Struthio camelus: one gene and its partner. The protein of the gene in region 2 purifies or fractionates together with the protein of the main gene of each other region. This does not show direct contact. Links are inferred from orthologs where the notes say so. Each region holds a gene or a part of one and is shown on either strand. Other genes may lie near its edges.

What was found.
Region 1: the proteins of RPL23 (region 2) and RPLP2 fractionate together in Homo sapiens (co-fractionation; 4 studies listed by BioGRID). This does not show direct contact. The link is inferred for Struthio camelus from reciprocal best matches to the Homo sapiens genes RPL23 and RPLP2.

Annotation. Positions count from the first base shown.
Region 1 is NC_090946.1:16,121,895-16,125,638, forward strand, and holds the start of RPLP2 (large ribosomal subunit protein P2), read left to right. Parts: upstream 1-1,495; 5' UTR 1,496-1,635; intron 1,636-1,824; 5' UTR 1,825-1,825; coding exon 1,826-1,948; intron 1,949-3,313; coding exon 3,314-3,362; intron 3,363-3,526; exon of another isoform or gene 3,527-3,659; intron 3,660-3,744. UniProt on the Homo sapiens protein: Plays an important role in the elongation step of protein synthesis.
Region 2 is NC_090966.1:6,317,881-6,321,624, reverse strand, and holds the start of RPL23 (large ribosomal subunit protein uL14), read left to right. Parts: upstream 1-1,505; 5' UTR 1,506-1,614; coding exon 1,615-1,627; intron 1,628-2,163; coding exon 2,164-2,247; intron 2,248-2,484; exon of another isoform or gene 2,485-2,615; intron 2,616-2,676; coding exon 2,677-2,805; intron 2,806-3,291; exon of another isoform or gene 3,292-3,424; intron 3,425-3,744.

The DNA of each region.
Region 1 (3,744 bases), on a different chromosome or scaffold from region 2:
GGCCCCTGGCACAACCTTGGTCCCGAAAGCCTGGCTGCTGCGCTGGGTCGGGCTCGGCTCAGCCGGCCACTTCCTGCAAAGTTTGCAGTGAACTCCGGGCTGCCTGCCGGGGCGGGCCGCGCTGGAGGAGGTGCCGGATGCAGCAGACCAAGGGGCAGGCGGCTCTGGAGAGCTGGGCCAAGGCACTAGGCCCTGCCACCGCACCCCAGCTGGTGTCCACGCTGCTCCCCCGCAGGGGGTGGCTGGGGCCAGATGTGCGCTTAGCCTGGAGGGAAAGAGAGGCGAGGGCAGCTCCTGATAGCGCTCTAATTTGCTGCAAATTCAAGGAGAAAAAACAAGCAGGAACAGAGACCGCAAGCCCTGACGTGTGTGGGACTGGGGGCTGCAGAGCTGGGGGAGGCTCCTGCAGGGGGGCCTTCGCAGGGCTGCGCTGCATCTCATCGCTCTGCACTCTGGGAGCCGCCCTGCCTTCGATTTTTTCATTGCAAGAGATTTAGTTCAGCTTAACACTGTGTCCGGGCAAGACCCCACAGCATGTATTTTGCTCTTTGTTTTGTTAAGAACGTGCAATGTCTGATTTTGCGTTCACAACAGGTGTCCAGTCAGTGACTCCATGCTGTGGCGCGCTGGTCTCGCTGTGCAATGCCACCTGAGAAGTGCGAGGTCCCTGTTTCAGCACTTCTCGCTCAAAGCTGCCTATAAGCTGTGCAGTGCCCCGAGGGAAATTTCTGTCCCTACAGGGAGCAAAAAACTAATTGTGCCCATGGCTGTGCTTTTTAGTTTACCAGACTGCTTTCCTGAAACACTTCCAAAGTTATACAACCGGGAGCCTGGCTGTTTATTGGAGGCACCTGAATTCCCAGGGGTGAGAAGCGGAAAGCGCTGCGTATGGGGTTTCTATACTGTCTGCAGGACAGGAACGGCCAAAGCTTCCTTATAACACTCCACTGCAGTGATGCAGCTTTATTTGGGCCTGTTGGATCCTGGCGCAGTATTCCTAAGAGCCTCCGCGCTCCTTTCTCGTTTTTATTCGTTTCCCTAGCACAGGGGTGAAGGAATCAAATCAAGCGACGAAGGCCATTTTCGCCAGCAGGAATCCAGGCTGGATCAACGCCTAACCTTCCTGGCACGGCTCCTAACTCCAGGAGCGACTTCGGGCTGCGTTTTTTCCCGTCCTCGCGATGCCTTTTTTTGCTGACAGGACGGCGGCCGCAACGGCCAGACTCTGGATTTCACAGGCGGCAGCAGCGCCAATCCAGGCCTAGCGCGGAGCAACGACGGGAGCCCGCGCTAATAACGGAGCTCGAGGGGGAGTAACTGTAACGAAGGGTTAGCCTGAGCCGTGCCGAGAGGAAGCGAGAGGAAGCCGGGACGGCGGCAGCAGCACCTCCACTGCCGCTTCCGCCCTAACGGACATCAAGATGGCGGCCGCCGCCTACTCGCCGCCGCCCCTCCCACCCACCCACCCATTGGCTGCGCGGCTCGCGGCCGGCGCGGCCCAATGGCAGCGCGCGTTGCTGAGGGGTGACGGGAAGAAGCCGCCGCCGAGGCGCCGCCTCTTCCCTTTCGCCGCCGGGCTGCCGTCGCGAGCGCACGTCGCAGGCCTCTCTCCCGCGCCGCCCCCCCTCCCTCCGAGTAAGCGCGCGGCGACCCCATTTCCCTACTTCCCCCCCCCCCAACACACCTCTCCCGCGGGAGTGGTCGCGCCCGCCCGGGACGGTCCGCGGGGCTCGGGTGGGACCATTGCGGGAGCCGGGGGGGAGGGGGAGGCGGCCATGTGCTGGGGCGGCGGCGCGGCGCTGAGGCGGCTGTTGTCTCTCGCAGGATGCGTTACGTCGCGGCCTACCTGCTCGCCGTCCTCGGCGGCAACGAGTCGCCCACCTCCAAGGACCTGAAGAAGATCCTGGACAGCGTCGGCATCGAGACGGACGACGAGCGCGTGAACAAGGTGCTTGCTTCAAGAGTTGCCGCTTTTCCAGGGGGCAAACGCTCAGTAACGTCCTGGCGTTTGTCACACCCCCCCCCCCCCGGAGAAGCCCGTTTTCCTTCCCTGAGCAACGCAGAGGGAAAAGGGCCTGCGGTCATAACGGGCAGGAGACAAACAGGAACGGTGCGGGAGTGGTTACGTAGAAAACCAGGCTTTTTAAGAAGAGCTTTCTAGTGGGAAAGCTGCTCCTGATGTAGTAAGCTTCCCGTTTGCTGCATTAATGGCCGTGGGAAGAAGAAGGAAAAATTGTCTTACTGCCTGCCGCGTACCTGTATGCAGGGTGTTTCCAGAGGGGCGGAGGAAAAACAAGTTATTTTCCCGTTCGGGTGCCGTATCTTCACCCTCAGCCAAAATGATGGGTTGACTCAGCGGACAGAAGCCTTGTAGGGTTTGGGAGGTTGCGTTGAACTCGCGTTCAAACACCAGGTCTTTTAGCTTTGGCTTGTTTACCCTTGTTTAAAACCTTCATAAATTTAACTTTTTTTTTTTCCTGATCCTTCAATATCCAGAAAGTCTCACTGGTGTTTGTTTTGATCATAGTTATCCATCTTTCTATATTTGTACTGGCTGGACTTTATGCCAGTGTAAATCTAGTGAAGCCATGACACCTTCCAGATTAAGGGAGCCCACAGACATGGCATTTCACAGGCTGCATGCTCTGTGTGAGCAGGAGATATTTCTTCAAAACTTCTTGGTTGGCCTTACCTCATTTGTTCATTTCCTTTGGCTTTGGTGACGCTGCAGTGCTCAGCACTGACACCCAATAGCAGGAGCTCATTAGTAAGATCTATGACGTTCCTTTTTGATTTTTTTTTTTTTTGCTTGCTTGCTTTAGCAATTTTTGTTTTCCTCATCCCTGGTTATACAACAATGATAGTAAAATAGAAGTCAGGACTCTCTGTTCCAGTGCAAGGATATAGTCACCAGCTTGGCTTTAACATTTGGTAGTGCTAAGAACAGGACCCTGTGGTTTTTGGTGTGAGGCCCAGTGCTTCAGAGCTTCCCAGTGGAAGTTAAGCAAGATTAGTTATCAGTCCCTCAGTGAGTAACAAACCATTAGTGGGGTTTCCCAGTTGGCTCCAGAAGGCACCCTACTTTCTGTAACGTCCATGGATTCATTATGAATTTCTTGCAACAGATTTCATGAGAAAACTTTCACAGAAAAGCACAAAAGAGCTAGCTGGAACTTGTATTTCAATTTTCTGCTCCTTCCACTGAGTTGGAGCTGGGCAGGCAGCGGGATGGAGGCATTGCTCACCGTTAATCAATACTTGTGTAAAGGTAGCTTGTACTCTTGTTTTGACATTTTAAATTTAATTTACACAGGTTATTAGTGAGCTGAATGGAAAGAACATTGAGGATGTCATTGCTCAGGGTAAGTGCAGTCTTCGAGTGTCACAGGTAATTGCCTCTACCAGTTTGGTAACTTAGGCTTAAGAGCACAGAATTACTGTCAACTCCTTGACATATACATCAGTTTGGTCTCGCTGGCGAGCACTTTCATGCTGGATCTCTGCTGAAATGACTGTGAAATCCAGCAGGTCCATTCTAATTCCTTGCAGGTCAGTGCCAGTACCTGCTGGGTTTCGCTTGTGGACCACATTAAACTGGGAGACTTCAAAATGTATGAGCTTACTGGTAGTCTGCTCATAATATAGTTTTCTGGACATGCTGATTAGAGAAAGAATTAGCTAACCTTTGGTACTCTGGGAGATTTTTTTGGATTTACCCACTTGTGCAGACTAATTGAGTAAAAT
Region 2 (3,744 bases):
TCTTGACTTACTGTCAAGAGCGTGGCTCGAGACGCGCCGTTCTTCAGCAGCATTCCTGATAAAGCTTTCTCGAGCAGGAGCCGTGAAACATTCACATAAATCAGCTGGCTGCAAATGTTTTTCACCAGCTTGTAAAGTAACTATTTGCGGCTCTCGGTCCTGCTTTTCTGGTAAGACTCCTAGTCCTCAGCCCTCCATGTCTGGCTCCTCGAAGGCCTGGGCTGTTCATCCCCATAGTGCCGCGGGGAGAGCTGCTCCGGAGGTGACCTGTGTCCAAGTGAATCGTCTTGGTGAGGAAACTACACAAAACGTCCCATTTTTCGAGCAGTGCTGTGGAGCAGGAGCGAGCGCGTTGCTCCCACCTCCTGCGTCCCCAGCCCTCCCAGGATCCTGGCCCTTCCGGCATCCTGCTTGCAGCCCACCAAAGCCCCCTGCTTTGCAGCTCCGAGCAAACATCTCGGCAGTTTCGTGGTGCAAGCAGGACTTGGGGGCTGCAAGGGCAAGCGCTTCCCCAGGTGGTTTCCGTAGGGCAGAGCCTGGGGAGGTCACCGTGGCGGCTTGCTCGCCATGCGTGGCGGCCCCGGCTCACTCTTAACCGTATTGACAAGAGGGTGCAAAACGAGAGGGCACAGGGATGAGCCTGGCAAACCTCTGCGCAGGCTGCAAGCGCTCAGCCTGTAGGAGCCGGGAGGGAACTGGGCAGGGATTGCCCAGGCATCGCCGTGGGCTGGTCGCCCTTCGCCTGGTGATTGCTGCAATTTCAGCGCTCGTGTGTGTGCACACGCTCCCCTTGCTGCCAACGCGCCTGATGAGGATGGACACCTGGACGCTGCAAAGGGCAGCGCACGCTGCGGCGGTGAAACCAGCCGTTACCTTTCTGGAAAACCTGGCAAGAAAATGGCCCTTTGGAGTTGTTTGGAATGGGCTGCGCTGCTCTTCCTCCTCTGGGCTGCAGCTTCGCTCCCACCTCTTTTCCATTGTCTGCTGGAGGCCCCCGGGAAGGGGGGGAGCAGGCGAAGGTCCGAGTGGGGCAGCACCCCCAGAGCATCCCAGGGACATCCCCAGGGCCAGGAGTCCACTCTGAGATGTCCCCAAGCTAGCAACCCAAGCAGGTGGGGGTATAGCTCAGTGGCAGAGCATTTGACTGCAGATCAAGAGGTCCCCGGTTCAAATCCGGGTGCCCCCTTTTTCTTTTTTCCTCCTCTTCTTTTTTTCTCCTTTTATCTTTTTCCAACCCTCCACAAAAAAAAGGTCACCCCCCCCCCGCCCAAGTATTCCTTGCACCGAATCCACCCAGCGCCTCGGCCGTCCCGGTGCCTCCCGAGCAGGGCTCCCTGCAGCCGTCGCGGCCGCGGGTGGGTCTGCTTGGGTGGGTGAGTGGGGTGGGGGGGGTCGATCTTTTTTGGGGGGGTCCCGGGGTGGCCCCACGCGCAGGGTCGGGGCACGCCTCCGGGGCGGCCCCCAGGGGGCGCCACGTGACGCTCCCCCCCCCCCGCGGCCTCGTCACGTGGCGCTCCGCCGCGGCCTCGTCACGTGACGACCGCCCCCCCCTCCCCCCGCGGCGGTCTCATTTCCCGGCGTGCCGCGCGCGGCGCTCTCTCTTCCGGCGCCAAGATGTCGAAGCGGGGTGAGATAGGCGCGGGGCGGCGGCGGCGGCGGATCCGGACCCATCCGCGGGCCGCGGCGCCCCGGGACCGGGCGGGGCCGGCGCGGGGGGCGGCTCGGGAGCGGCCTGGCGGAGCGGGGCGGCAGGGGGTGCTGTAACAGCCGGTGCGGCCCGGCCGCGAGCCCGGTGGAACCGGGCCGGGGAGCGGAGGCCCTTCGGGCCACGGGCTCCGACACCCCCGGGGGCGGCGCCGACGTACCCCGAGGGGCCTCGCCCGCCCCCCCCCCCCGGCCGGGCTCGCTCTGAGGGCCGCGGGGCTTTGACGTGGAGCTCAGCTGGGGTTAAAAACCCGCGGTGGGGCAGCTGTGTGCCGGGGCCTAAGGAAGCTGGGGCTGGGAAGGGATGCACCTTTGTAGCTGTGGGATATTTGGATGCTGGGAGTTTTGCAACAGGCAGTTTCAAGGGCAAGAGCCTGGCTTGTTATGTTGCATCTGGAATATGTTTCTGCTCCCTAGTTGTGGTCTTACTGTTTTGGTTTTTTTTTTTTAAACCTGCAGGACGTGGTGGTTCATCTGGTGCGAAATTCCGCATCTCCCTTGGTCTCCCTGTGGGAGCTGTGATCAACTGTGCGGATAACACAGGTGAGTCCAGCTGCCACGTTTCTATAATTGTTTGTTTGTTTCTGCCTCTGGCAGGCTTTTTTCTGGGGATTTGAGTTAAGAGGAGGGATCCAGTGGCTCAAGACCGAGCCTAGAAACCCTCTGCCTGGAGAGGGGATGTAAATTAATAGAACAATTAGCTGTTGAACAAATCCATGGATTCTTGACTGTGTTAAGTCTTGGAGCAGTTTAACACAGTGGTGGTGCTAAAAACACTTTTCCTTCTGAAAAGCACTTGCTGAGTCTGTGTTTGTGGCTCAGTGAGATGTCGTGGGAGGGTATAGCAACAGTATCGCTTTTGGGTGAAGTGACAGCCTGTGCTGTTAGCTTCAATCAGTGGTCTGACAAGAGTCCCTGTAGAGGAAGCTTCTTCTGGGACAGATGGGCTGATGCAGGTGACTTTCCTTGCAGGTGCCAAGAATCTTTACATCATCTCTGTGAAGGGGATCAAGGGGCGCCTGAACAGACTGCCAGCTGCTGGTGTGGGTGACATGGTCATGGCTACTGTCAAGAAGGGCAAGCCTGAGCTGAGGAAGAAGGGTGAGTTTGGAGAGGAGCTGCAAGTCCTGCAGGGCTTCTCAAACTAAACAGCCCTGAGTGGAAGGGCAGCTACCCTGCAGCACCTTCCCAGGCGCAAGAGAGCGCACCAAAATGCACTGCTCAGTACATGTGTGCTGCAGAGAATCACTTGCCTGGCTTTCCTCAAGCTGTTCACTGTGGGGGATGGGGCAGAATGAATCCTGCTTATTTTGATGACTGTCGCCCTTGTAGGTTGGTATAACGTAGCTGGGTCTTGCTGGGTTACAGTAGCAGTCTGTGCCTCAGCATTACAACTCAAGTCCAACACAAAAAACTAGGAGGGGCATAATGCCATCATTAGGCTACTCTCTGCTGCTGAGAGTCTGCTTGCACTGCAGTGCCCTTCCTTTGTGGGATGGAAAGGCAGATCTTGCATCTAAGGGGAGCAAGTTTCCTCCTTCAAACTGATATAGACAGTAGGCACCTCCTCCCTGGAGTGTTAGTTCCACCCTTCTGAAAAGCACTTGTTGGGTCTGTGCTCAGTGGCTCAATGAGTTGTCGTGGAAGGGCATAGCAAAGACATCGCTTTTGGGTGAAGTAGCAGCCTGTGCTGTTTATTTCAATCAGTGGTGTGACATTGTGCCTTGGAAAACAAGCCTTGCTGCTGCTTTGGAGGGAATAAGGGGGAAGAGGTTCTTGCTGAGTATTGCCTATGAATTGGCATTACATTTAGAAATGTAAGTGGGAAACTGGAAAAACACTCAATTGCCCAAGTCCAGAGGTGGCTGAAGCGTTACACAGTTGGGTCTAGGCAAACTGTAGTTTGTAGACAGTACACAACCCAACTAATGCACTGCGCGCTATGGAGCAAGAGACATGATTACAGCAGCCACTTCCCTGCTTCTGTAAGAGAACAGAGGTAGGAAAAATAAAAATACACTGCATTTGCACTTGGCCCTA